Pelodiscus sinensis: one gene and its partners. The protein of the gene in region 2 purifies or fractionates together with the protein of the main gene of each other region. This does not show direct contact. Links are inferred from orthologs where the notes say so. Each region holds a gene or a part of one and is shown on either strand. Other genes may lie near its edges. The genes, in order: SNTB1, UTRN, DTNA and SNTB2.

Region 1 (7,519 bases), on a different chromosome or scaffold from region 2:
GACAAGGTCCCCTTGTTATAAGATGCAAAGTTGATCAGCTCCTCACTTTCACAGCCAGAGTAATCTGAAATGCCTTGTGTTTCACCCCACAGACGCTATAAGGTTTTAAACCAAGGATTCTCATCCCCTTTCCATATCGCAAGCCTATATTCAGGTATTTACAACTGATCCACAAATGCATCCCATAATTCTTAGCACTGGCTCCCACAGCTCCTCCAAGAAGTGTTACCATTTTTCAGTGACTCAAGAGAGGCAAATCAGAAACTGTGCTGTTGTTTAGTAGAACCAGAGGACGAACAGGCTGCAAATGACTGAACAAATCCATTTCAAACTAAGATAGGAGACATGGAATAGCAGCAGGTTCACCACCTCGCTCCACAAATGTTAATGACTCAAAGGTCAAGAACTGCTGGTTAAATGAACTTATGTACAAATAGGCACTTTATCAAACACACACATGCATACCAAGGGCATTTTCTGTTTAACACGCAATAGGCATATTTGTTTCTGCTGATCCTTTTCTCAGGTCTAGCAACTAAATTAACTCGCCTGGAAAAGACTCTTCAACTACCCTCCCCCCAAAAATCTTGAGATCAATGGAACTTTCTTTCCGGTCTTTAACTTATTCTCTCTTCTTTTTTGCTCTTTTTTCATACAGTCTGTGCCAAAACCCTCAAAGACTCGCTTCTTTTGCATTCCATTTTTAAGGTGGCTTCTAAAAGATCATCTCACCGCAGTCTGTGGTTTTTTCCCCTACAAACGTTTCAATGAGATATTTGCCAATTTCTATCACATCTGTTCCCCTTCTCTCCTGGGATGAACTAAGAAGGGTGTGTATGTGTAAATTTCAGTCATTTCAAATCACAGAGTTGCCATAGCCCTATGTGATGTGATCTGCTTGTTTCTCTTGCCTTTTTGCAGAGCAAAAGTAATAGTCAAACTCTCTCTCTGCCTTCTGGATTTGAAGTCTGCTTTTTTTGTGCCTTTGTTAGTCAAACACAACATGACAAACACTGTCTTGGATTATCGGAGCTGTTTAGGAAGGGTTTGCTAACTATGTCTCTTTGCAGAAAGGGCTGCAAAGCCCCAGGCTGGAGATCCTGCAGATAATTGTCACTTAACACACTACCAAATGTCAAAATGTGGACGATCTCAGTAGTTCAGGCAGTTCTGTCACTTTTTTTCCCTCCCCCTTGACAAGAGTTTAAAATCTCTCAACCTTGTGCCCAGGGAAGTGCAGGTAGTTTCTTTATGTCCCGTTCAGGTTTGCATTGTACTGTAGTTTGTGACCTGGCTTTCCTCTTCCTCCCTTTTTTTATTTTTTTTAACATACACATAGTGAAACTTGCAAAGCCCTTAGCTTGGCGCTGGGGTTCCCGGAGTTTCTTTAGTCAAATTAACCCCTAGCTTTCCCTAGCCATAGGCGGGGATCTCTCCGCTAACCTACCATCCGATCTGTTTGGGGAAGCTGTCCCCTCTCACAAGCTCCGAGTTGAGCAGGACGCCTAAGGATCTTAGCGCTGCTTGTAAAACCAAATTAACTCTTTACTTCCAAGTCACAGACACGCACAGCCCTGGCGTTTGTGATCTGGGCACTCTAGGGAGGATATACTCCCTCTGCCCCCTCAATAAACACGCCAGAGAACAGGTAGCAAGAAGGCCCAACTTTGCAGGGGTGAAAACCCCTTACCTACTGCTGTCCCATGGACAGCAGGATCCACCCTGCCCTGCCAGCGTCTCAAAGCTCATGATACTCTCTCGATATATTTGTTAGTCTCTCAGGTGCTACAGGATCACTTGTTTTTTAAAGTTGCAGACTCACAAAACTACCCCCTGAGAGTTTTTAACAGGGGCAGGGGAGTGGTTGGGACACACAGGAGTCCTGTGTCTTTCCCCCTGCTCATCACCCACTGCCCAGTGTGCAAGGCCTGGGGCAGAGGGACAGCCGCCGGGCTCCTTTTAACCCCTTACCTTCCAGCAGCACCTCCTTGCCCGCCCGCTTGAGCGCCTGCACCGCCTCGTCGTGGGTGGCGTCCCGCAGGTCCGTCCCGTTCACGGCCAGGATGGCATCTCCCACGTAGAGGGCCTGGGTCTGGTCGGCCGCCAGCCCCTTGAAGATCTTGCTGATGAGGATGGGCATCTTGTTCTCCTTGCCCCCCTTGATGCTGATGCCCAGCCCGCCCAGCTCCTGCTTCAGCACCTTCACGCACCGCTTCTTGTTGGAGATGGCGTCGGGCACTTGCTCGGGGAGCTCGGTGAAGGCGGTGCGCACCCCGGGGCCACCCCCCGCCTTGGGGCTGCCGCCGCCGCCGGGCGGCTCGGGGCTGGCGGCGGCCGCCCCCCGGCAGGGCACCCCGTTGCCGCTGGCCCCGACGCCGTTGTGGGCTGCGCCGTCGGCGCGCTCCTCGCAGCTCAGCACCAGCGCATCCTCGCCCAAGTTGGCCAGGACTTTGTGCCAGCGGTCCCGCACCAGGACTTCCAGCCAGCCGCTCCGCTGCTGCGCCCGGCCGCCGGCCGCCGCTGCCGCTCCCGCCATCTTTGGAGCATTCTTAGCGCACCATGTGATTGCACCGCCCGGCCGCCAGCCCGCCAGCCGCGCACAGGACAGGGCTGCGCCCCGGGAGCGCCCCGAGCGCCGCCAGCCGCGCCCGCCGGCCGGGGGCGGAGCAAAGCCCGCGGCTCGCCCAGCGCCCGGCCAGGCGGCTGCCTCGCAGGCGCCACCTCCGCTCACCTGCTGCGGGGCGGCACGTGGAGGGGGGGGGCCCTGGCAGCGCAGCCCCGGGCGCGCCCCAAGCCGGGCAGGGCGCTCGCCCACCTGCTGCCCGGCCCGTCAGCGCCCGCTGCTCCCCCCTCCCGGCCCCGAGGAGAGAAACGCGCACAGCAGGGAGCGCCTGGGGGGCAGCTCGTCCGCTCCGCACCCCAGCGAACCCTGGCCTCCTCGCCCCGCGGCAGCACGCGCAGACGCGTCTCTTCCCTGACCCAGCGCTAGCTCCGGTCTGCCCAGCGGCGCGCTCAGCCCCATTCTCCCAGCGAGTTACTTTCCATGTCTTCCTGGGGGCAGTCTCCCCACTCACCGCCCCAGGTCTGGGAAGCCCCTTCCCCTCTTCCCGTCTCTCCACTTTGCCTCGCTTTCCCTTTGCATTCACTCCAGCTGAGCCAGTGTTACTAACCACTAACAGAGCATAGCCTGGGACAGAACATGAACATAATGGTCGCACTGGGTCAGACCAGATCTGGGGTCATTTGGCGCCGTAGCTCGTCTGTTGGTAGCAAATTTTGCAAGATGCTAAAGAGGAAATGTGCAGAACAGGGTAATTATGGAGTCATCTATCCCCTCTTATCCAGTCCCGGCTTCTGGCAGCAGAGGGACACCCAGAGCATGGGGTTGCATCTGCTGTCGATGGAGCTGTCCTTCATGGATTTATTTAATACGTTTCTTAATGCATTTATACTCTGAGCTTTTGCAGCATCCCCCTGGCAACAAGTTCCACAGAGTGACTTTATATTGTGTGAAGAACAACTTTCTTTTGTCTGTTTTAAACTTGTTGTCTGTTAAATTCATTGTGTGACTATTGGTTCTTGAATGAAGGAATCAACAGCGCTGCCTTATTTACTTTCTCCACACCATTCACAATTTTCTCCCTCAATCCTATATCCATGTAATTGTCTCTTTTCAAAGCTGAACCATCCCTGTCTTTTTACTCTCTCATCATAGGGAAGTTGCTTCATTCCCCTAATCATGTTTGTTGCCTCTCTGTACTTTTCCAATTCTATCTTTTTTTAAACAGCATTCCAGGTGTGGGAATACCAGGTATTTATACAGTGGTATCATATATTTTCTTATTATCTATACCTTTCCTGATGGTTCCTAATATTTGCTAGGTTTTTTTGGGGGGGGGGGGAGTGTTTACTTCGGCTGCATACCGAGTGGAGGTTTTCAGAGAACTATCCACAGAGACTCCAATATCTCTTTCTTGAGTGGTAACAGCAATACACAATTCACACCTCCTGATACTGGGAAAGGGACAATATAAAGGGGGGGGAACAAGACACAGCTACTTCTTTTACCATCTGATTATATGTGGTAGGTACTGAAGGCAGGGAAAGGTGGAGCCTCCCCAAATAGCCTTGTGAGGCCCTGGACATGTTCTGCACCCAGGCCCCTTGTCACTTCTCACTGCTGTGGGGAGAGCTGGATTACCCAATAGTCAGACAAAGCACTTGTTTAGGCACCAGCAAAGCAGGGGCACCAAAAAAAATGAGATTTTTTTTTAAAGTTGATATTTCAAAAAAAGCATCGAAGTAGTCCTCATGGGAAAAATCAGAACTCCACAGAACGCTCTTTTTCTCAGCTGAAAAGAATAAAAAACCCTCAGAGAACAACAATGTGTCAGGACAGACTTGATTCACTTTCCCTATTGTGTATGGAAGTGGACATTTTAATTTCAACATACATGTAAGTTTTGTGTCATTTCAAAAAATAAAATTTTATTGTACGGTATAGTATTGTATTTCTTTTGAATTACATATGGGGAGGCACCATAATCTTTTCAGTGCTTAGGGTCTCTAAAGGTCTTAATCCAGCCCTAGCTGTGGGGAACTTTTCCCCCTATGGCTGGGGGCCCAGGTTGGGATTAATGAAGGCTGGCCTGTGCACTGGACTGGGGAAAGCCTCGCACCACCTGCCCACTTGGCATGTTGGGGGGTGGAGCATGCTCCCACTATCCAACACTTAAGAGCATGGCCTTCTACTCACCTGCCTGGTGCTCTGGGGTTGGAGTGGGGAGCTACACTGGCAACCCATTTCACTGGGTGTGAGGGACAGTGGCCCAGGTCTTGGGGGGGGGCTGCCAGCATTGGGAGGGGGGCTGCTAGGCTTCAGAAAGAAGGTGTGGGACCTTGGGCAGAACAGGCAGGGGCAAGTCTCCCTGAGCCTGGGGTTCACCTGCCACCCATGCAGATGATGGTGGCCACCTCTGTGCAGCATGGATGTTGCCAGAAAGCGTGGCTGAGGAGTCAGCAGCAGTCGCCTCATCGACACCCTCCCACACCCTGTTGCCTTCCATGGACAGGAAACGAGCCCCAAGGGAGGCAACAGAATTCAGGGCTTCAGTTTCGTGCACACCAAAGCTTGAGACTTCGGCCCAATAGGCAGTGCTGGGAGCTGGGGCTTTTGCCCTGTCAGAGGTGCTGAGGCTCAGGACTGTAGCCCCACAGGGCACGCTGGGACCCAGGGCTTCAGCCCAACGGGTTTGAAAATATTTATCAGAGTTCTGCTCTGGACACCAGTTGCATTTAAATCCAAACTATTTGAGGTGGGAGAGTCCAGAGACCAGGCTCCAGACCAATCCCCAAAGTTTACACAGCAGCAAAACAGCCCTGATATGGGCCAGCTGCAGATTTTTTCTTTTCTGTGTAGACAGACTCCTAGCGAGCCACAGCCTCTCCCCCAAAGAGCTTTCAGTCTAGCATTACAAGACATAATAAGGGGTTGAAACAACTACTAGGGAAGTAGATGGAGCAATGTTGGTTAGGACAGGATAGCTGAAATGCAAGCTTATTTTTTCATAGACTAAGCTGTATAGACACAAGAAAGCGGCACAATAGAAATGCTTTTTAAGGGATGAGGAAATTGAAATACAGTTGCACTAATGTACAGGGCAGTGAAACGTCACTTATTGCAAATTAGAAGGAATGTTCCCAACTGTTACTCTGCATGACAAGGTGCACATAGGAAGTGTTTCCTGTCAGAGAATCTCTGCTCTGAATCCCTGTATCTGCTGAAGAAGCACAGTACGACATGTCTACACAGCACGGCAAAAATCGAATTGAGATATGCAACTTCAGCTACATCAATTGCATAGCTGAAGTCAATATAGCTTAATTCAGCTTTTGGTGCTGTATACACAGCAGGAAGTCGAAGCAAGAACACACTTCTTTCGACTTCCGTACTCCTTGTAAAATGAGGGTTACAGGAATCAGAGTAAGAAGGCCTCCAGCTTGACATTATTCCAAAATAATGGTGCTGTGTAGATGTGCCTGTAGAGTCCTAAGCCAGTGGCTTTCAACTGGCCTGGGCCTAGAGTGCACAGTAGCTTGTGAGACAGAACCAGTTATGCCTGTCTGCCCCTTACAGCATGAGTCTGTTATTTCATGTTTAGCTTCCAGTTCAAAAACTTGCCAACTGTGCAAGCTTCTGCTCTTGGCCCTGTGGCTTTTGAGTCATTAGGGTGCACTCATGACAATTACAAGCTTTCTTTGCAGCCATGAGAGCTGGAAACTTAACTTTTTAGCTGAAATTCTCCAGCAATCATTTTATGATGCCCCTGCTCATGCTTTATGAGAATTGACTTGTGAGTATAAATATGCATACCTCGAAAATGCTTAAGGCAAAATACCTCATGTAACCTAATAATTTTCATGTTACAATCTGCTGAATGTATATATCCTATTGTGGTGCATGTATCATTCTTGTGTGTGACGTTAAAAATACAAAGTGTGGATCTGTTTATAGTTCTAAATGTGTTAAAGGCAGCCATCACTGATACTCTGGAAACCTAATGATTCAGTAATCAACTTCATAACCTGTGAATAGCCTTGTTTGGCCTGTAAGCCCAAACGATGATTGGTCCTAGAAAAACATGTGACCATACCACCTGGTACTGAAATACATTTTGAACCTGGTATTTTTCCATGGGAATGGAGAATGCCAAAAAAGGGTTCCCATCCTGGGGGAAAGTCTTCTTTAAGCAATGGGAAGCAATCAGCTTTTGTCTTCAGCTGGCTTTTGAAACTGAAACTATATAATTCCCCAAAGTGGTGAACACTGATAGATATGCTAAGCACTCTTCTTTTGGGCTTCATGGAAGGAGCAACTAACTCCATTTATGCAGCGAGAGAGCTGAAAACTATAGAAGGCACTGTCCAAAGCAATGGGCCATAGGGCAAACCCATAGGAGAAGCTGACTGTGGGCTGAGGCTAAGATTTGGTCTATACTACAGAGTAAGTGAATATTGACTTAACTATGCAAGTGTCTACTCTTAAATTTTCCTCCCACTGATGTAACTGCCCTGTAATGCTGACTCAATAATTCCACCTCCAGGAGCAGTGTAGATGTAAGGTTGATATAATTAGGTCAACGTAGTGTCATTTAGATGCTGCATTGCTTACATCAATTATTTTTGGCTTGCAGGAAATGTCCCACAATGCCCTACCCTGCCAGGACAATCAATATATGCCTTCCTGGTGAGGACGCACATTGCCGATCAGAGCTGGATTAAAAGGGGGGGCTAGCCGGGCAGCTGCCCAGGGCGCCAACCTATAGGGGGCGCCTGATTGCAGTTGTAAGGGGCGCTGCGTGCCCATGGTCAGGGCCACACATGCGCCACGTGCCCGCTGCCCGGGGCGCAAGAATGGCTCGGGCCGGCACTGTTGCTGATACAGAAGCAAAGTAAAGATATGCACAAGCGATGTACCTTGGTGGCTGTATGCTGATGTAAATTAGGCCAGCTTAATTTT
Region 2 (7,010 bases):
TGCACTCTAGAAAAAAAGCACATACGAAAGAGTCTTCAAAAACAGCTTTTCATTCAAGATGTAGAAAGGCAGTGTTCAAAATGTTCCTTCTGATCAACCGTGTTTTTTCTAGCTCTGGCAGATCGAGAACAGAGATGTAAATCCCATTTAATTGGTTAACCAGTTAAATGCAATGGGGGAGGAGGGATACGCTCCAGCCCAGCCTCTGCCTGTTGCTCCAGCCCCCACCTGTTAACCTTTCATACCCCCCTAATCAAGAGCTTTGACCTTTAGAAATGACCTACCTCTGTTTGCCATTTTATTTGTATTTCTCGTCCACTTTAGTAAGATTCAAAAGTGCATCCCATCTCTCCAAAGTCAGTAGAATATTGTTAGACAAACCTGTAGAGCAGGGGTTAGCAAACTATAGTCCACAAGAAGCTGAGAGCACAATCGGAGACCAGGCCACTACACGCTTGCTATGTCTCCGCACTACGGATACAATATCGTAGTCAATTAACCGATCAGCAAAAGGTTGTAGATTAATGCTATAGACCAGCGTTTCACAACCAGTGGTATGCGTACCCTTAGAGGTACTCGAGAGAAGTCTGGGGGGTACATCAACAACTGAAATTTGGAGAAAACTGAATTTTTATTTTAAGTTTTACAGCGCTTTATTATTTTTGTACTTTTTATACCCCAAAGTTTCATTGCCCGCCCGGCTACGATTAAGTTGTTCAAACAAATGTGTTGCAATGGTAGAAAAAAAATGTTGTGTGTCTGAAAACTGTAGGTACTGGGGGTAATTTTTTTTTTAAGGGGGGGAATTTTTTTTTTTAAGGGGGTACTTTATTTAAATAAAAAAAAGTTGAGAAACACTGCTGTAGACTATATGCATTTCTCCTCCACCCCTTGCCAGTAAATTTTTTAGTAGACTGGCCAGCAGCCTGGCTCAGTCCCAGCCCTACCTCCCTGCGACTCTGCATTTAAAGTGTGTTAGGAGCCAATCAGGCAGCCTGGCTCAGTTACGGCTCATGCCCAGTCCAGTTCAGACTCCTCTCCCCCAGACAGGGGTTGCCCGGGGACTAAAGAATTGACTAACCGGTAAGAATTCATAAGGTTAATCGACTACTCAATTAACCGAGATTTGACATCCCTACTCCACGTGCCTCCTGGAAGCATGGCGCTGCTTCCAGGATCTGTGTGAGGTGAGTGCCGCCCATAGCCTGTACCCCTTAAGCTCTGCCCTCATGCCCCAAACCCCTGCCCGAGGCCTGATCCCTCTCTCACCCTCTGACCCCTATGCAGAGCACCCTACTACACTTCAAATCTCTCATTCCCACCCCAAAGCCTGCACCCCCAGTCACAGCTTGCTCTCTCTTCCACTTCCTTGGCCCCTGCCCTAGCCAAGAGCCCCTCCTGCACTCTGAACGCCTGATTTTCGGCCCTACCACAGAACCCATGCCCCTAGTTGGAAGCCTCACCCACTCCTGAACCCCAAATGCTAATTTTGTGAGAGTTCCCAGTCTAAAATACAATCTCCATACCAAAAAGGAATCCTTCCTCTCCCTGCAGTGTATTATGATGTCCAAAACCAACTCCTATAGGTTGGACCTCCTGGGTCTGCAACACTTGGGACCTAACTGAACCCAAACAAAGGAATTTGCCAGACCAGGGAAATTTATGTAAAAGTAAGCATAATCAGAATCTCATCCCAGTGCTATATTCTACTTGAAATTGAGGGCTGTTCTTCTAAAATAGCACAGGAACATTGGTTTACGTAAAACTTCACAATCCAGCAGCAAAAAATTGAGTCCACACAAAGTAAATGAGTCAAACTCTCTGCTATTTGGCGGATTTGACGTCAATGGATGTGCGCCAAATTACATTAAGAGGTAATCATCACGAGGCAATAATGGTCTCAGAGCCAATGCTCTTCCATAGTCCAAGTACTATATAAGAAACTGGAATTCACAAATATGGGAGTAATCTGTTCCTGCTCTCCTGGTCTAGTTTTTTTTAGTCCTGGTCCCATATTTCACAGGTCTGGAATTTTAAAATTCCTAAAGAGGTTTCAAACAGAAAAAGAACGTACCCCCAGTTTACTGTCTCCCAAAATCCCATCTGAGTTATTTTCTGTTACAGAAAATCTCCTTCATGTGTCTCAAAACAGTAAAGGAGTCTTTTTTCAACTTTGGTTTTAAAAAAAAAAAAAATCATGTCAGCAACTGTGCTGAGATCTTAAAAGGAAGACTGTATATCTAATACTCAAATCACAGTAAGCAGAACTTTATTATAGATGTTCAATTAGATAATCAAATCAAAAAGATCTAGTGTTTCTCTCAGCTAAAAGCAAATGTCAGCAAGTCTTTCCGATCTTGTCTATATTCATTTTTCATACTTTAAAATGTATTTTCAGGGACACCAGTCAGTGAAAAAATAGAAACAATTTTAATAACTTTCTTCACCAAGTAAGCTAACACTTCAGATTAAAAAAAAATCATTGGTGAAAGGTGTTATATGACTGAATGGCCTAACAAGCAAATGTTAACCAGCCACAATTCATATAGTACTTGCAGTGAAGCTATGCCACAAATAGCAAATTGTAAACTATCCTTCCCTTGCACTGTTTCCTGCCATGCCTTTATGGTACTAGACTACGCAAACTTAAAACTGTGTTAATTTTAAAAAATGGCTAGCAAAAGATACAAAAAAAGTAAATGTATCTCTACTCTTGTAAAATATATTTGAGACTGAAATATGCTCTCACCTGGTGGAAGAGAACGAGCCGGAATATCTGTATGCCAAAGAAAATCAAACTTATACTTTTTCCACAGAACTTTTTTGGTTGTCTGACTGCTCATGATCAAGCTCAGTGTTTAAAAACAGGAAAAGTGAAAATGCAGAGGAAGTGCACACTAATAACAGCATGAGAACTGCATGCTGGGATTTTTAGGGGGGCGGTAGAGAAGATCATTTTTTTTCCTATGAAAGAACTGGACTCAAATCTCAACCACAATGTGAACCACTCAGGAAACACACAAGCTTTTACATTCAAGTATGTATGCAAACAACTTGAACTAATTAAAAGGTGCCCCCCCCCCGCGTAACAATCTATCATCAATACAGTGTTTGTATAAACTTTGCCTTTCTGCTTTCAAAGCAGAAGCAAGTCAAAATTCTACATAATGAAAATAGCAAAGACTCCATGACAATTCTCCTATGCTGTTTGAGGCAGCAGATATTTCATGTAACATTCTTTAAAGGCTCTACAAATATTCTCTTGCATTTAATTTCCAAATAGCTGTAATGATAATAAAATAATGCCTATCACTGACATAACCTTTTGCTTAATTCTTTATAGCAGATTATCTAAACTTCACCATTCCTATAAAGCAAGTACCAGATGTACCAGTTATTTCAAAGCAGTGCGAGGAATTTAGGCATACGTCTTCCAGTACTTTTAATTAAAGATCTATAATGAAACAGATGTGAAAAATCAGCTCTATAATATAGGTGTAAACAAAAGTTGAAATCTTCAAGATGTACAAATGCCAAGACAGACATACGCAAGAATAGTACTGTGTGTTTTTAATAATGTGGAGTAATATTAGCACCGTAACAATAGGTTTAAAAATCGTATTTGTACACACCCAGGGTACAAATCCCAGAGTATCCCTTCAAGAAGTATATGGCCCACAACTCTGTCCCCCTTTTCTGAAATCAACAAGCAAAACACAGCTCTGAATGCTTTAATTAGCTAATTAAAAGTTGCATCATTATGAAATATATTTTTAAGGTAACAAGTGATCTAATATGAGATTTAAATCTATTACAAAAGAGTATAATATAAGCCAAAGGGAGAGTTCTGTACAGAAAAGATAAAGTGATGCAAAACAGATGCCATGAAACTTACTCTAGGTCAGTAGTGTCCAACCAGTTCTGAACTCGCCACGTTCAACTGGCCAAATAGTCACCAGTGGCTAGCATGTTCGATACCACTGTTCTAGGTACTTGCATCTAAGCATATTTTAGGAATGATGCCAACACAGCAATGTAGTAGTTTTATTTATTAATACATAAGATTGATTAGCCTCTCCCAAAAGATTTTGCCAAAATATATTGTTTGCCATAAAAAAAAAAAAAAAAAAATCTCTCATCTTGATCAATTTTATTAGAAGAAAAACTACTTAAAATGCATGGTCCATTACTGCTATGCTAGCAATTACACACAGGAGTAGGACCAATCAGCTCCTATGCATCAAGCTATGGACAATTAAATGTTTTTCAAATTCAGTCCCTAAATTGAAATCCAAGTAAGAAGACACTCACTGACGTAAAACTAAATCATAATAGATGTGATTTGCAAAGGACTCACTTATAGAATCAGTAGGTTACAGGAACAATAAAGCATTAAAATAATTTGAAATTAAAAAAAAAAAAAAAAAAAGCAAGACTTCTGCCAAAATAAAACATACTGGACGGGAAACACACATCAACTGCAAGAGCTGGTAACCAAGGGATGGACATGCTGAGTTTTGGGGAAATAGTGTTAATACTAGAGCAAGGAGATTGTTTAAAAACAAAATCCTAAGTGTTCAACACATGCATTCTAGCTACAAATTACTTCATTCATTCTAATAAAATGGTCTCATTCCTACTACTGCTGAATTCAATAGACCGTTTATTTAGCAACTATCTGTCTCGGGTATGCACTCTCTTTTATTCATTCTGGTGTTGACAGCAGTAATCAAATTTTGTACATACCGCTGGCTCTATTATAGCCCAACAGTCACTGGCTGCCTGCCTAGTTTTCTTATCATACCCACAAGATTAAAAAAGGCCAGAGACCAGCTGGAACTACAGTAGAGTGAGGGTATAAGAAGTGGAGGGCCATGGTGGGCAAGGGGCTGTTTCAGCTCCCACTGGTTAACTGGAACAAGTAAACATCACCTGTTAAATAAACTTTCACATCTCTAGTTCAAACAAGGCCAGACTCAGCCCAGCCCAAAGCAGACCACCTTTAATAAATAATTTGGATAGGAATATAGTCGAGGCACATTTGAGGAGGATTATTTTCCTTTAGAATACCTCCACTCCACGCTTAGACAATAGAGTCTACTTCTACGAGCTTGGCTCACAGGAAACAGAAGGGAGACCAAAAAAGAAGTGTTGTTTTAAAAAAGCGTACTGTTGTGACGCACTCCATATTCTTAATGGAAATATGCTTATGATATGGATGTGACATAACTGAGATACATGAGAAAAGTGTAATACATCATTAGAAAGACTATGATTTACTTTACGTGATTATCCAATTTGTATGCCTGCATCACTCCTGCATCTGAAATGAGCAATATGGACCAATTGGATATGACGCGCTACAGGAGGCTCAACAGCCAATCTCAGCAGGACAGGGTAAAAGGGTGCTCCTGCTGGCACAACAAGCAGGCTCAGTGGTATTTCAGTACAGCAAGTAGCATATTAAAAGGGCACAACCTGTCAAAACTGCATCCTCTTATTCTAAGGCAAAGGTGCCCAACCTAGAGCCCACAGGTCATACTTTGTCCAGAGCAAAACAAAAGGTCTGCAGCCTAACAGTTGTTATATTAGGATTGTCATGTTTACATCATTTTAGTTTCCACAAGTGAATAAACTGACTATTCTCAGAGGGATGGTAATGTTACTCTGTATCTGCAAAAACAAGGAGTACTGTGGCACATTAAATACTAACACACACACACGCACACACACGTACGTATACACACTAAATAGGTTATTTCTATGTACAGAATAGTCAATCTTAATTCCATCAAAACAAGCTGAACTTAAAATATAAATCACTACAGGTGACTTTAAATCTTATTAAAATAGGTAGAATCTTTGTAGTCCATACAATGTTGTTCTTAGGTGTACGTGGCCCTCCTGGGTAATAAGGGTGGGCAGCACGGCTTTGAAGGCACACAAATACCAACACTCCTTTCCAGATTCAATTTCCAGATCAATTTCTTCCCAAAGAAAAGAGAAGATGGTATCAAACATTTTTAAAACCCATGGAGCTCTAATAAAAGCATGCTTACTCTGACTGACTCAGTTTCATTAATAACAGCATCGATATAACTGTGCATTAACAGTTAGTCAACTGACTGACTCATTTTGCAAAATAAGAGGCAATTATAGATTACAAATATTAACTTTAAGAATCTTCACACTTCCGTTCAGTCTTTTTGAAAAGTATTCCTGACTAATGACATTAAGAGAAGCCATATTTTGGGCCTTTTGAAATAGAAGACACATACAGGCAGTCCCCGGGTTACGTACAAGATAGGGACTGTAGGTTTGTTCTTAAGTTGAATCTGTATGTAAGTCGGAACTGGCGTCCAGATTCAGCCGCTGCTGAAACTGATCAGTTTCAACAGAGGCTGAATCTGGACGCCAGTTCTGACTTACATACAGATTCAACTTAAGAACCCCAGGCATCCCCAAGTCAGCTGCTGCTGAAACTGATCAGCGGCTGATTACAGGAAGCCCGGGGCAGGGGCTTCCTGTAGTCAGCCACTGCTCAGTTTCAGCAGCAGCTGACTTGGGGACGCCTGGGGCAGAGCAGCTGGGGTGCTGCTGGGTTGGTCCAGTAGCGCCGCCGCTCCTCGGCGATACTGGACCAACCCAGCAGCACCCAAGCTGCTCTGCCCCAGGCGTCCTGATTCAGCCACTGCTGAATCTGACCAGCAGTGGCTGAATCAGGACGCCTGGGGCAGAACAGCTGGGGTGCTGCCCGGTTGGTCCAGTAGCGCCCAGAGCGGTGCTACAGGACCAACTGGCAGCGCCCCAGCTGCTGTACCACAGGTGTCCGGAGCAAAGCCACGGAGCACGGGGGCAGCGGGACAGCCCAGACGCGCCGTGGCTGTCTTGCTGCTCTCGGGCTCCGTGGCTTTGCTCTGCTTTGCTCCCCGTCCCCCTGGTCTGCAGACCAGGGGGACGGGGAGCAAAGCAGAGCAAAGCCACGGAGCCCGAGAGCAGCAAAGCGGAGG
Region 3 (7,222 bases), on a different chromosome or scaffold from region 2:
AATAAGTTGTTCCAGAACAATGTTAACTCCAAGACTGTAGTCCAGAAAACTGCTGAACATAAAACAAACTTTCTGGACAGCTGTTAGATGGCAATTCAGTAAACTTCTAAAGAAGGACATGGTGTGTTTGTAGCCTTTGTTCTTCACAACTAATTCCCTCTGACTTTCAACTGCACAAGTGTAAAAGACTAGGAAGCCAATTCCCCACGCACACCAATTTTATACAGTGTATTTCCTTTGACTTCATTGCACTAAGAGCTGATTAAGGCTCTGATTCTGGAAACAGATATATGGGTGCTGACCTTTACATACTAAAGTCAACAGAATTTTACACTTGCAAAATTGGTGCAAGGGGAAAAATCACTCTCCAGGCTTTTACAATGCATAACAAAGTCGGAGGAAAGTAGTTGGGAAGAACAAAGACCTCAAAAACAAAAAATATCACCCTTGTTTTTCTTCTAAAAAATCATTTTGCTATCTAGCAGATTCTCCAAACCTCTCTCCTATTTTTCAGCAGTTTTTGGGTTGTGAAATCAATAACATTACATATGGATATCACCAGCACATCTACCAGGGTCAGGTCTGATACTATTATAAATGAGAGCAGAATCAGGAGTATGTGTAACTTGATGTTGATTACTGTCAATATATATTATAACACACAAAAACTATACTTGGAACAGATTACACTGAGACACAATTCAGAGGACCACATACACAGTGTCTCATTCTTAATTTATGTACTCAGGAAGTGACTGAGGCATAATTACTGATGCATAATTTTGTATTTATTCCTACTCTTGATGAGTGTAGCTCCTTATTTTGGTTGTAACTAAATCTCTAACAGGTCAGTACAGAATTTTTTACTTTATCCATTACTTTTTAAAATATATGAAGTATTAATTTTTATATTTAATTGTAATCATAATAATAACCATGATTGTAAATTTTGTTCATGTGGTAAACCAGTAAACACTACCAATACATTCAACACTGATATTGGGTAAATATAAGAATTTTGCAATGGGAGCAGGATCAAGCCCCTAAGAGCTGGCAGTAGTTATCCTGGAGGGGCACAAAGCACAAGTTATGAAGTTGAATTTGAACACACACTTCTAACCTATCCTCTGTCAACAGCTCACCATTTTTTCACAGCACTATTTTTTTACACTTTTTATCACTTCTTTTGTGAACAGTGTGCTGAATGCCAAAAGTGTGACAAATCCCCATAATGTGTTTGCCCAGTGCTGTTGGTAGTACATATGTGATATATGCTGACATTCAACTGAAAGCTTAGAAAAATACTGTTGGATTCTACGGCAATGATGGAGTTAAAGTTGAAAACATTCTCCTTTTTTGTGATCATTATATAACCATCTCCAATACCAGAATAATCAGGGAAAATGGCAGTGAAGTGTTCAAAAGAGAACAGTAAGTTACACAACTTTGAGCTTGACAGGATTTAAAGTCTAGAAATAATAAGCTTATGATATTGCTTTAACACTTTCTATTTCATGAACCTCTCATATCAAAGCCTGCACATTATTTATGTTCATTTGACCACAGTACCTCTAAAAGCTTAATTTAATTTTTAGGTAATAATTATTCTATGGTATAAATGCTATTATAGTACGAACTAACTATTCTACAGTGACTAGGATATTCATTGCAAATGAAAGTTTGTGAATCAGCAAGTGGACAGGCAATTACAAATACAAATACTGTATAATGCATTATCAAGTATATTTCAAACATTTATTAGCCAGTTTTTGATTAGTTGGTGATAATCCTTCATAGCACACCTGCAAAAGTGATCTGATACATTTAGTATAAATTATAGACTCCACTCAGTTAAATTTCTAGGGAAAAACACATACAGAGCCGGTGTTTAATCAGAGCTAGATGCATCTCTCCCTCTTCCAATCGCCCAGTATGTACACACATATACAAACATATTACAACTGCCAGGGTCATCAATGGAACAGCCAGTATATTTAAAGCCCAGGGGCAGGCAACGTGCACCTTCACTATTGAAAAAAACAACCCCACATAAAAGCTGAAGTACAGTAAAAGTCATATAACATATGTCCTTAGGCCTACAAAAAATTCCTTGAGCTTCCAACCTATAAACACACATACACACTCCCTTTCTGCACATGAGTGTATAAATTGGTGATGTTTTGTAATGAAATGCATGATGCCAATAACCAGGAAGCTTTATCCAAAAGCTCTCCCACCGGGACCTCCTTAATAGCAGACACCAAGTTCTCTATCCCTTCCTCTTCCCCTGCTTACCCCCTCAAGAATTCAGTATCAGCATCCCTCCAGCTCTCTCTGTAGCAGGACAACTCAGCTTGGAAAAATGAATCCACAGCGATGAACCAATGCAAATATGAGTCACACCAAAATATATTTATATCTAAATGGGCAACAGGCTGAATAACCCTCTCTCTGCCAGCACCTCCTTCCCCTGAGCCATTTCCATTGACACCGCAGTGCATTGCAACACTAGCAGCCGCCTCTGGCTCAGAAATTTTCACTCCCCCCCCCCCCCCCACTCCTTCCAGTATTAAACACTCTTCAGGCTCTTTGCAGTGCTGGGAACCGTCCTTAATGGAGGCTTCAGCATCCTCTGTAAGCCTTTTGGCTTTTGCAAGGAAAAAGGGGTGGGGAGGGGGAGAAGTGGGACAAGATGAGTGAAGGAATGAATGAATTGCTACCTCCAGAAAGGCTCTGTGGGCTGCTGCTTGCTCCTGCTCCTGCTGCTGTTGCTGCTGCTGCTGCTGTCACAGCGGATCAGCTGATATTTACCTGTGAGGTAATGCACACTCTGTAAGGTCACCATGCACCCACTGAAATAGAGTGCAAAGCAGGAGGCAGGCAGAGAGAGGGAGCTGCTGCTGCCGCTTCCCGCTGCGAGCCGAGAGGCTGCACCGCGCGCTGGCTGCTGATGCGGCTGCAGCTCCTGGCACATGCTGCAGGTGTCAGAGCAGAAGCTGCCCTGCCTCACACGGGACCCAGCGCGCTTCTGCACATGCTCCAGCCCCCGCCGGCGCCCCCACTGCACATGCCCAGTGGGCCCCTGAAGCCGCTGCCCGGCCCTGCGCCTGGAGCCTCGCTGCGCTTTCCCCAGGACGCGCCCTGGCCATGCGCGGGGGAGCCGGGTGGGGAGCGGAGCGCAGGAAGGGGCCGGAGGGGAGGGGGCTGAGCAGGAGGGATGACGTATTGGGGGATGGAGGAGCAGGAGGGGCTGAGGCGAGGAAGAGCCGCAGATTTGGGGGTGGGGAGCAAATCGAGGGTTGCAAGGAGCGGGCCAAGCGGCCGGAGAGGAGGCAGGAGCAGAGCGGGGCAGACGCGCATCGGCGGGGCGCTCTCGCGTTCGGGGGCCGCTGGGCGGGTGGAAGGGGCTGATCAGCTGGAAGGGTGATGGGGCGCCGCTTGGCGGGGGTGGAGGGGCAGAGCAGAGGGTGGGGGGGAGGTGATGGAGGAGCAGATCAGGAGGGGGCTGCACATCCTGGGGGGGGGGGGGTTGGACTGTCCGTATCCCAGACCCAAATCTAGAGTGACATCCAATGTCACAGCGTCACGTAATGAACATCCCCGGTGCTGGAACCGGAGTTGTTCCCCTCTATTGTGCTTCATTGTTAGCCGGGCAGTGACGTCACCCTGTTTCCCTCTGCACATTCCCTCCCGAGAGAGACGCGTTTTCTTCCAAGAGCCTTGCACCCGGCCTTGTACAGCCGAATCTGTAAAGCTAGAGAATAGAGAGCCCCTCTTTTTAGTGACTGTCAGCTATTTGAGTTTTTGCCTGTTTTAGTGTTTGTTTTCAAATTTGCATGTGCTCGCCTGCTCTCTCTCTCTCGCTCTATTTAGTAATGGGTTTTCTGTTAATGTCAAAAATGTGCCACCTTGTATAAACATTCATAATTGTTTTGCTAATGAAGCACTTTGTCAGTTCCGTCCAATTATTTTTCTGCAATCTATAAACCAGTTCTGTTCTGGTGATGTGTAATATCTCTGTGTATGTTTAAATTGACAGAGAGGCTATTTTCATTACTAGTTAATAAAAATTTGAATAATCCTATTACAAACCTGCATGAACAGGATTTTTCTCATGAGAGGGAAGCCACTTAAAGTACTAGAATCTTGAAGATTTAATGTATTTTCTTTCCTGAGTGCTAATATGTCTTGAATCACATTTTTTACCTCCTAAGATCTCCACACTCAATCCTCATATAGCCTTATTATTTGAGCTATAGTGGGAAGAGATGATGTAAGCCTTAGTGCATTAAAACACAGTATGCATAGGCCCAAAGTGTCCAATTTCCCAACCTAAACTTACAGAGCTACATACAGATTTAGACCCTGCTCCAGTAGGGAGTTATGCATGTGCTTAGCTTTGTTCATATGAGCAGCTCCATTTAAGTCAATGGCACTACTCATATGAGCAAAAGTAAGCACGTGTGTAAGTGTAGGATTGCAGCCTCCAGTACACTATAAGTACCCTGATTGTCAATGCAAAGTAATGTGATTTCCTTCCCCACCCCAAATATGGCTTGTCCAACTGTTCATGACCCATTCAGCATGGACTTAATACAGCGCTTAGCAGGATAGGGTTTTCAGATGCACATCTTTCTCTTTCACACATTACCTGAAAATTAGAAACTGCTATCTTTATGGCAAATCTAATGCATATCGCTTCAGAGGGGTAGCCGAGTTAGTCTATAACAGGAAACACTTGAAAAACAAATAATCTAGTAGCACTTTAAAGACTAACAAAACATGTATGGTATCTTGAGCTTTCATGGGCACAACCCACTTCTTCAGATGACTAAAGTGTGTTGGAAGTCCAGATCCAAAAATAAATAAGGGAAGGAGGGAAGGCGGGGGAGAGAAGGAAAAAAATTGAAGGGGAAGAAAAAAAAGACAGTGAGTAGATAAGCTTCAGGGGATAGCAGAGTGAATGTGTAACAGGAAAAACTTAAAAAACAACAAACAGTCTAGTAGCATCTTAACGACTAAATAGTTACAAGAGGCTGATAAGAACCATTAGTTAGCTCTTGGAAAGGAAAATAACCAATCCCAGATTCTAAACAGACATCAAGAACCATTAGCTCCTTCATTGTTACTTTTGCAGATCCATTAATGAGTGTCCAGGAAGATTAAAGTGTTCTCCAACAGCCTTTTGTGTATTGCCTTTCAGATATCTGATTTGTGTCCATTAATTCTTTCCCGTACAGACTGTCCAGTAGGCCGATACACATTGCAGTGGGGGCATTGCTGGCATTTGATGGCATAGCTCACATTAGTGCAGGGGTTCCCAAACTTTTTGACAAGGGGACCAGTAAATCCATTCATGAGCATTTGGAGGACTGGTAACATTCATTTGCATATTTGCATATTCATTAAGCAAATGATTAATATTCAAATAAGTTGTTTCTGGTCCTCCCAAAGCCCCCAGTGCCAGCTTTAGCAAAGCTTTTGATACAGTCACCCACAGTATTCTTGCCAGCATGTTAAGGGAATATGGATGGGATAAATGGACTGTAAGATGGATAGAAAGCTGGCTAGACCAGGGTTTCCCAAACTTATTACTTTAGTTGGAACCCGTTTTTTTCAGTACTGTTTTTTGCAGCCCAAAAATATAAACGCATATAAAAAAAGAATTAAAAATGAATAAATTTTCAGTGTTTCACCCGGATGCATCCTCCACCCAGCTTGGGCCAGGTCTTGGGGGATTCAGCGCCGCATGGGCACTCCAGGAGGCGGGTGCAGGAGCAGATTGGGGGAAGGGTATCTGGCTAGGAGGGAGTGTGCAAGGAGGGGTAGGGTTGCCAGGTGTCCAGTTTTGTACCAGACAGTCCGGTATTTGAGGGTTCTATCCAGGAAACAAATTGAGAAAATACCAGACATAAAATGTCTGGTATTTTCTAATTAGGTACGTTTTATTATTATTATTAGGTGTATCAGTCGTAGCTGCGAACTGCCTGGCTGGTAAATGTGCTCACACTGCATGAGTGTGTCTACCGGCCAGGCAGTTCGCAACTACTCGAGGGAGGGTATGGGGAGGGGAATGGAATCCCCAGGGCAGGACTCACTCATGTGCCCAGGTTAGTCCTGCTTCCCGCCGGCCGATTCACTGGCCCCACTCCCTGCTTCTCCTCCCGATCTCCCCAGGTCAGTCCCACTGCCCCCATCCAGCCCTGCTTCCAGTGGCTGGTTCTCCAGTCCTCCTCCTCCCAATCTCCCCCAGCCAGTCCCCCCGGCCAGCCCTGCTTCCACTACCTGCCTGCCCCGATCTCCGCCGGACAGCCCTGCTGCCCCCAACTATGCTTCCGCCGGCCGGCTGCCCTCTCCTCCCCAATCTCCACCAGACACCCCTGCTGCCCCTAATCTTGCTTCCTGGTGGCCCATTCCCCCCCCACACACACACCTCCTTCCAGCCCATCCCGCCCCACTCCCCTCCCAGCAGCCACGCTGAGGCCCAGTATATTTGTCCCGCGGCCTGGTACTGGGCCGCCGCCCATAGTTCAGGAAACGCTGCATTAGTGAATGTGCAGTTAAACGAGCTACTGATTTGGTGGCTGATGTGGTTGGGTCCAGTGACGAAAACACTTGTGTAGATATATGGGCAGAGCTGGCACCGGGGCTGATTGCAAGGGTGGGTTCCTGGATGCTTATGATGTAGCTGTGTTGCATAGTTACCGGAAAGAATTTGTTTCAGGTTAGGGGGTTGTCATTAAGCCAGAATAGGCCTTTCCCCCAAGACCACTGAGAGTGAAGGGTCATTTTCCAGGATAAGTTGTAGATTTTTGATAATGTGTTGGAGGGGTTTAAGTTGTGGACTGTAGGTGATGACAAGTGGAATTCTGTTGTTTTCTCTTTTGGGCCTATCTTGAAGGAGTTCATGTCTGGGTACTTTTTTGGCTCTGTCAATCTGTTTTTTCCCTTCTCTAGGTGGGTATTTCAGTTTTAAGAATTCTCTATATAGATCCTGAAGGTTTTTGTCTCTGTCTGTGGAACTGGAGCAAATCCGGTTGTATCTTAGGGCTTGGCTGTATACAATAAATTGAGAAATGTGTCTGGGATGGAAGCTAGAGGCATGAAGGTAAGTGCAGTGGTTGGTTAGTTTCTGGTATATGGTGGTGGAAATTTGTCCATCATTTAATTGTACTGTAGTGTCAAGAAAGTGGATTTCTTGTGTGGACTGATCGAGGCTGAG
Region 4 (7,950 bases), on a different chromosome or scaffold from region 2:
TAATCCTCTCATCTATGTCTCAGATATTGAAGCCTTCAAATACTTTGAAGGCCCCAAGATGCAGAGAATCCTCCAGCTGTGATCTGTGCCCCATGCTACAGAGGAAGGCAAAAAACCTCCAGGGTCTCTGCCAATCTACCCTGGAGGAAAATTCCTTCCCGACCCCAAATATGGCGATCAGCTAAACCCTGAGCATGTGGGCAAGACTCATCAGCCAGACACCCAGAAAGTTTGCTACGTATTTCACATTTCTATAGCTAAATTCCTCTTAACACCCTCTCAATAGGCCTCCAATCTCCAGCACCTCTCTCAGCACCATCTTTGCAACAGCATGAATAGACTTTGCAAGAATTTTCATAAAACAAGTTGACAAATAAGCATTGTCAGAGCCAGAAAGTTCATAGCTGAGTTCAAGTACTTTCCCGTGAAGCTATCCCAGCTTCTTTCAGACCATTCCTTCCAACCAACAGTCCAAAGTCGTGAGCCCCAGAGCTCAATGCTCTTTGCAGAATGCCCGCCTCTCCCATTCAAGCAATCAGCAGTTTGATGCCAGTTACTTTACAGACACAAATACAAATCCATCACTTAATACTGCAACTTGCTTTTCTTCATGAACATTTTAGACCAGCAATGATTCTGCTTTAGGGAAAAGATTATTCCCACAAAACCAACATATCCAGGGATGTTAAGTAGCGGTTAATTATCTAATTGATAAGTTGATAGAATTTCCATCGACTACTTAATTAGTCGATGGGGGGGTGCTCAGTACCCTCCCCCCGTGGGTCTGCAGTTTAAATGTAGTAGGAGTCAGGCTCATGCTTCTTCCTCCCTTGCTGCCTCTGATACAGAGGGGAAGGGGAAGCAAGTAGCACCATGACTACCCGATAAGCCTAAATTTATCGGGTAGTTGACTACTCGGCTTACATCCCTAATCCACATGGGCCTCTATTTTAAGCGAAGACTGTTTTAAAGAGCTTCCACCTCCACGTAAACAGAAAACTTTGGCCTGTTGCTTTGCAGCCCAGCATTTAGATTCAGTCTGTTTTAGTAGCATTGGAGCACATCGATCACAAATGGTACTGCTCAAGCACCAGTGGACAAGACCGTACAACCGCATTCTCAGTTACAGCTATGGGGCTTCTAACCACAAATACTACCTTATCTGCTCAATTGCACATGTTGCCTCACTCAGCAACTGCAGAGCAGCAGCAGCAGCATCTCTACTGGAGGAAAAGCCACAACAAGAGACCTGAGAATCAGAATTGCACCATGGGTGAGGGCTTTTTGCAGCCAGCAGATGTTGCTGCTAGCCTGTGAGCCAGGCAGTGAACGATTCCCCTAAGAAAGGAAGGGAGGAGCCAGATTACATCTTCACTGGCAGCTTGTGGCCCCGAGTTACAGGTCATGAATTTTCCCAAAACAACAGACAAATCTAGGCATGGACTCCCACCCACTACTGTGAGAACACAAGCACACGTCAATACAGATCTTCAAGCGCGAGGGGACAAGTTCTCACGCAGGATGCGGGCTTGAGTCAGGACATGTCCCCTCTAACAGCGGGCAGCTCAGAGAGTTGAGTTAATGCCCATCACGCCCGCCGGCTGCTCAGAGAGGACAGACTGGAAGAGGAGGGCCACTCTCCGCTCTCAAAACCAGGACCATGCAGCACTTTAAAGATGAACAAGATGGTTTATTAGGCGATGATGTGAGAAAGTGGGTCTGGCCCACGAAAGCTCAAACAGTGGCATATCGTGCCAGTTTTCTTCCACTATTTGATCTGAGGCAGTGGGTCTGGCCCAGGCGAGCTCGTCACCTAATAAACCTGCCTAGTCCTGTGCTGTTCAGCCCGACCAGCCTAACCCGGCTGCGTCTCTATCACTCTCCTTTCTCAAGCTCTCTGCGCCCGGCTCTCGGCGCCCGCACGGGGACACCCCCGTGGTGCGGGGCCGCCCGCGGGGAGCCAGTGTCCGGGGCTCGGAGGGGGGGAGCCCGGGTCGCGCGGGGGGCCCTGAGAGACACGCCTCCCCCGCCCGCGGGGAGCTGGTGTCCAGGGCTCGGGGGGGGGGGCCCTGAGAGACACGCCTCCCCCGCCCGCGGGGAGCTGGTGTCCAGGGCTCGGGGGGGGGGGGCCCTGAGAGACACGCCTCCCCCGCCCGCGGGGAGCTGGTGTCCAGGGCTCGGGGGGGGGGGCCCTGAGAGACACGCCTCCCCCGCCCGCGGGGAGCTGGTGTCCAGGGCTCGGGGGGGGGGGGGGGGCCCTGAGAGACACGCCTCCCCCGCTCGCGGGGAGCCGGTGTCCGGGGCTGGGGGGAGGGGCCGGGTCGCGGGGGGGCCCTGAGAGACACGCCCCTCCCGCCCACGGGGAGCCGGTGTCCGGGGCTCGGGGGGGGGGGGGCCCTGAGAGACACGCCCCTCCCGCCCACGGGGAGCCGGTGTCCGGGGCTGGGGGGGGGCCGGGTCGCGGGGGGGCCCCGAGAGACACGCCCCCCCGCGGTACCTTCCAGCAGCACCTCGCGGCCGGCGCGCTTGAGCGCCTGCACGGCCTGGTCGTGGGTGGCGTCGCGCAGGTCGGTGCCGTTGACCGAGAGGATGGCGTCCCCCAGGCGCAGCGCGCCGCAGCGCTCGGCCGCCAGCCCCGGGAAGATGCGGGAGATGAGCACGGGCATGCGGTTCTCGCGCCCGCCCTTGATGCTGATGCCCAGCCCGCCCGCCTCGGCCTTCACCACCCGCACCCGCCGCACGCCCGGCGGCGCCGGCTCGGCCGCGGGCGGCTCGGGGCTGCCGGCGCCGTTGGGCAGCCCGTTGGGGGGCTCGGGCGGCGGCGGCTCCGAGGTGAGGCTCAGCGCCTCGCCGCTCAGCTCGGCCGCCACCCGCACCCAGCGCTCCCGCAGCAGCAGCTCCAGCAGCCCCGCCTTGGCGGCGCGCGTCCACACCGCCATGCCGCCAACCGCCCGCCCGCCCGCCGCGCGCCGGCCCGCTCAGCAGAGGCGGGCGCCGCCCCGGCCGCGGGCGAGTGCGCCCGCCCGGCCTCCGTCCCGCGCGCGATTGGCGGCCGGCGGCCAGAGGGGCGGGGCCTCGGGGCGGAGCCCCGCCCCCGCCGCAGCGCAGGGACGCACCCCCCCCGGGACGGGCGGCGAGGGGCGGGGCTTACGCCTCGAGCTCCTCCCACGGAGTGGGCGGGGCTTCTGCGGCTCCGCCCTCTTTCCCAAGGCCAAGGGGGTTGAGAGCCATAGACACCCCCCCCCCCCCCACACACACACACACTCCGTCCAAAGGGGTCTGCACAGAGCTTGGGCCAGCAGCACCCTAGCACCAGGGGCCCCTCCGGTGCCCTAGCTCAGCCCCGCCAGCTGTGCCCTCAACCAGCCAATCCAGCCCCAGCCAAGGCAGTAAGAACCAAACCCGACTGGGTCCAGAGCCGGGGATGGTCTGTCTGAAAAATACTATTGTCCTTGGGGCACTGTGGCGGGTGGCAGTGTAGAAAAAGCCCAAAGCTGGGGCATGGTTTGGGAACAGTTCCATCCAAGGCTAAACTGTATTAATAACAGGGAAAGGAGGGAGGCGAGTACATCCCTAGGTCCTCCCCTGCTGCAGGACTAGTGAAGGCAAAGCCCCGTGGGGAACACCAACACCCAGCTTTCCAGATCCCCTGCCTTTGCTTCACTTTCTTGCTCCAGGAAAAAGGTAGCCTGATCTCCCCGTTCCCCGCTGCAGCCCTGAACAAGGGGAGCAGAGCCAGGGCTAGACAGCGGGCGGCAGCACATCCAATCTTAAGGCAGAAATTCGGTTACAGGCCCGCTTGAGATTAGTACAGCCCCACCAGCCCGGAGCTTGCTGAATTCCTGCCTGAGGCTGGGCCTTGGCTACTGATCCCTCAGAGCCCTATTTTTAACTCAAGCAGATGTACCCACCAATGATCTCAGACTCCCCACAACACCTACTGAGAGGGGAAGTACAACCAACGCCTGCCAGCCCTTTGCCTAGCACCCTGTGAGCACAGGGTTGGGGGCAGGTGGTTCAGGCAGCAATAACCACACGAAGTTGACACCCCTTTCTCATTCATGAAAATGAAAGGGAATTGTGAATTAGAGCAGCGTGAGGCAGGACAGACATTTTTGCTTTAGAAATCAATTGGCTAAAATATTAGGAAAAACTCAGTTCAAGAAGTCACATATCAAGATTAAACTACATTTCCCCCCACCCCCGTGTTCTAGCTCTGTCTACTGCTCAAACAGCAGCAGCTGCAAGTTTTATGTGCACAAGCCAGTGTGTTGCACGTCAGACCTCTACTAAATATAATACACAACAAACAGCCACAATCAGTGCAATGTAACTTACTGGGATTTGGGAAGACTATAAGACCAGGTATCATATGTAACTAGGTAGTTTGACAAGGGCTTTGGAATGACCAGAGACAAGTTCTAAGAATGTAAAAGTGAAATGCATGGAGATGCCTATTTCCTAGAACTGGATGGGACCCTGAAAGGTCATCAAGTCCAGTCCCCTGCCTTCACAGCAGGACCAAATACCATCCCTGACAGATTTTGCCCCAGATCGCTAAATGGCTTCCTCAAGGATTGAGCTCACAATGCTGGGTTTAGCAGGCCAACATTCAAACCAGTTATCCCTCCCCCCTAAGAATGAGGTTGCCTATTCCAGAACTACCAGCAGCACAGGGGGAATCTAATTGTTAACACAATCGCTGTGATCAAAAAACACCAACTGCACTTTGGTAATGGGAGGTTTCCTGCTGCTCAGATGTATAAATGATGCTAAGGGGTAGCAGCCCACAGCACAAGGATGGGGGGGGAAGGGGGCTGCTCTTCTCCATAGAACAACCTACACTCCAGAACAATTCTTTGCACTGGGGTTTTCTGCTCCCAAGCAGGATGGGACAGAGGCCTGATCTGATTCACCATTTAGTATAAATGCTCTCCCCGCACGTGAGCTTTTGCCTTGAAATGGGAACTGCAGAGCAACTGAAATGTTGCTTAATTTCACCGGAGCTGCTGAAATCTGCTGAGTTGCTATTCACCGCGACCTGGTGAATTAGTTCTGATTGAGAGCTCTCAGCCTTCTCCTCCAGGCGATGATGCTGTAACTTGATCCAGGGGTTGGCCTTTGTGACAGCAGTACCAAGAGGGCTGCATAGGAATCACAAGTATAAGGGACAGCCCGGTGCTTTGTTAGAAGGTGACATGCCACAGGATTTCAGCAGGAGGGGGATTACAACAGCCAAAACGAGCCTCTGAACAGGAGCTGAATGGAAATGGCAGAATAGCCGAACGTGATGGGCGCAACCACATAGATGCAGACTGGAGAAGTATCCCCATGGGGGGAGCAGTCATGCAGCCCACAGATCACTCCCCAGCTACAGCCAGTGGTCTCCCTCCAGGGATCAGCAGGAAAACCCCAGCTCAGTGATTGAGGTTTTGCAAGTCTGAGCACACCCCCGTTCTTCACGTTTTGTGAATTAACTTCCTTTCCTGCTAACACGGACCAAGCTGTAACAAGCTGACAGCCTAGAGGGAGCCGCCCCCGCAGCCCTGCACCGCTTTCAAGCCTGTGGTTTCAGTTCAGAAACATTCACAATCAATTTTGCAGCAGCTTCGAATGACAAACACAGGGCTGGGAGGGCCCTGGAATGGTCACCTAGGCCAGTTCCTGCGCTAAGGCAGGGCCCAGTAAATCTTATGGGGAGATCAACTGAGTCTCCCTGTTTCCATGAGCCGTAACCACCTAACAGCTAAGGGAACGGTGCCCCCTGCTGGCGCAGCGTTAGAGGGGCCTGCAAAGCAAGCTGCAGGGTCCTCGGAGCCAGAAAGCCTGGTTGTGCACCACAGTTCAAAGTATCACTGGTAAAGGCTAAGAAAACACAGAGCAGCAGCTCTCAGACTGCTCCCGACCACTGCTTGTCCACAGGAGTATCTTCTGGAGCCGGCACAGGAAGGCAGCAAGAAGCAAGTGGGGCTAACTGATGGCAGAGGGGGGCAGGCCGCGTGGTCATGGAAGCGGGGTGCTCACACCACACTGTAAGGCCCAGCGCACGCGGCAAACGCAGATTCAGAACTGTGGGAGTAGAACAAGGGCATCCAACATGGAGCGGGAAGAGAAAGGGGGCCTGGAGGAGAAGGGTCATGGGGGTACAGGCTGCAGGGGCTGTCAGGAAAGGCCAGCAGCAGGCAGGCGGTGAAAGCAGGTGGCTACAGCATGCACACAAGTCACTGCCTGCGTGCGCAGCACCAACATCTACTCCACACACTCACAAGCCGGGCTGGAACGGTTCGCTCAGCTTGGCTTAGACAAGCCCCTCGGTGTTCCTGTAACTGCCTGCAGCGATGCTTGGGCTCGGATTTAGACGCATGCCCACGCATGGGGCACGCTGGGACTGCACACGCAAGCGGCCAGCTGGGCCCTTTGCACATGCAGGTTCTACGTTTTGAAGCTGGGTCCCCATGCCTGGCTGGGCACCTTCGGGATTTGAATCATGGCATAAGCAGTGAAATCAAGCATCTGCTTTCTGTAAAAGGGCCACCAAACCAGTAACATGCACCAGGAACTGCCTTTCAACTAGGGGCAGGAAAGGTTAACTGGTAAACATTACCCATACCAGGTGCTGCTTACTGGTCATGCTTAACCAGTAGGGGCTGGTCCAGCCTGGCTCCAGTGGGCGAGGGGAGGCACCAGGGCTGGACATGCTTTCCCCCGCCCCCGATCAATTGCTTAACCGGTCAAACATTATGTTTAACCGGTTAACTAATTAAACGGGATTTAACATTTCGGCTACGTCTCGATTGGCATGATTTTCCGCAAATGCTTTGAACGGAAAAGTTTTCCGTTAAAAGCATTTGCAGAAAAGAGCGTCTAGATTGGCACGGATGCTTTTCCGCACAAGCACTTTTTGCGGAAAAGTGTCCGTGCCAATCTAGACGCGGTTTTGCGCAAAAAAGCCCCGATCGCCATTTTCGCCATTGGGGCTTTTTTGCGGAAAACAGTCCTGTGCTGTCTACAGTGGCCCTCTTGAGCAAATGATTTGCGCAAGAGGGCTTTTGCCCGAACGGAAGCAGCATAGTATTTCCGCAAGAAGCACTGATTTCAGACAGTAGGAAGTCAGTGTTCTTGTGGAAATTCAAGCAGCCGGTGTAGACAGCTGGCAAGTTTCAACTCACCCTTCTAGTTTCAACTCACCCTGGTGCAGGCCTACTGTACACAGGTACCAGCTAAAAGAAATCCGGTGTGGCCGGCTACCGATCCCCCTCGAGCTAGTTGCTGTTTACACACAAAGAGCGGAGCATGAAATCTGGCTGGACGCAGGGTTTTGGCAGTGGCCAAAGTGGCTGTTTGTTGGTATGAATCTGGGTGAGAACTGACCACATCTGGCAGAAGCCAACGGGCAGCCCCCCCCCCATTCTCCCAGCGGGCAGCCCCCCCCCCCATTCTCCCAGCGGGCAGCCCAGCAGCAAGCCACCGAGGGGCGGGTGGCCAGGTCGAACACGGGCTGAGGTGTCAAAGGGGGTTCCATCCCCCAGTTAGGCTGCAGGGCTTTGGCACAGGGATTGCCTCTCCCGTGACATCCGCACAGAGCCGGGCTCCCAGGCCCCGCGAGCGATGGGGGCGAGAAGCGTTCCTGTCCGGCCTCAGGACCAGCCGCGCGGCAGGGAGAGCCGCCAGCATCCGGCGCAACGAAGGCCGTACTGACTGCAAGCCTGGGGCCTGCCCTGAGCGAGAAGGGGCCACGTTGCTGTAACCCTCCAGGAACGGGCCCTGGGGCCAGGCCAGCCTCTGCGGCGGCGAGAAGCCCCAAGGGGCAGGCGCCCATCCCACATCCCTTCTCTGGGACCCAGCCCTAGAGCCGTCGGGGCTGTAGGAAGGCAGAGGGAGAGTCCACAGCACAGCCGAGGTTTATTACTACCGGCGTCCCCAGCAGCAATAGTGCAGAGTGTCTGTGGC

What was found.
Region 1: the proteins of UTRN (region 2) and SNTB1 purify together in Homo sapiens (affinity purification with mass spectrometry; 3 studies listed by BioGRID and IntAct, with this or other methods). This does not show direct contact. The link is inferred for Pelodiscus sinensis from reciprocal best matches to the Homo sapiens genes UTRN and SNTB1.
Region 3: the proteins of UTRN (region 2) and DTNA purify together in Homo sapiens (affinity purification with mass spectrometry; 3 studies listed by BioGRID and IntAct, with this or other methods). This does not show direct contact. The link is inferred for Pelodiscus sinensis from reciprocal best matches to the Homo sapiens genes UTRN and DTNA.
Region 4: the proteins of UTRN (region 2) and SNTB2 purify together in Homo sapiens (affinity purification with mass spectrometry; 4 studies listed by BioGRID and IntAct, with this or other methods). This does not show direct contact. The link is inferred for Pelodiscus sinensis from reciprocal best matches to the Homo sapiens genes UTRN and SNTB2.

What each region holds. Positions count from the first base shown.
Region 1 is NC_134712.1:21,362,378-21,369,896, reverse strand, and holds the start of SNTB1 (beta-1-syntrophin), read right to left. Parts: upstream 3,005-7,519; 5' UTR 2,537-3,004; coding exon 1,972-2,536; intron 1-1,971. UniProt on the Homo sapiens protein: Adapter protein that binds to and probably organizes the subcellular localization of a variety of membrane proteins. May link various receptors to the actin cytoskeleton and the dystrophin glycoprotein complex.
Region 2 is NC_134713.1:102,214,361-102,221,370, reverse strand, and holds the start of UTRN (utrophin), read right to left. Parts: upstream 3,019-7,010; 5' UTR 2,844-3,018; coding exon 2,750-2,843; intron 1-2,749.
Region 3 is NC_134712.1:70,973,006-70,980,227, forward strand, and holds the start of DTNA (dystrobrevin alpha), read right to left. Parts: upstream 3,003-7,222; 5' UTR 2,975-3,002; coding exon 2,721-2,974; intron 1-2,720. UniProt on the Homo sapiens protein: May be involved in the formation and stability of synapses as well as being involved in the clustering of nicotinic acetylcholine receptors.
Region 4 is NC_134722.1:1,963,372-1,971,321, forward strand, and holds the start of SNTB2 (beta-2-syntrophin), read right to left. Parts: upstream 3,018-7,950; 5' UTR 2,940-3,017; coding exon 2,498-2,939; intron 1-2,497. UniProt on the Homo sapiens protein: Adapter protein that binds to and probably organizes the subcellular localization of a variety of membrane proteins. May link various receptors to the actin cytoskeleton and the dystrophin glycoprotein complex.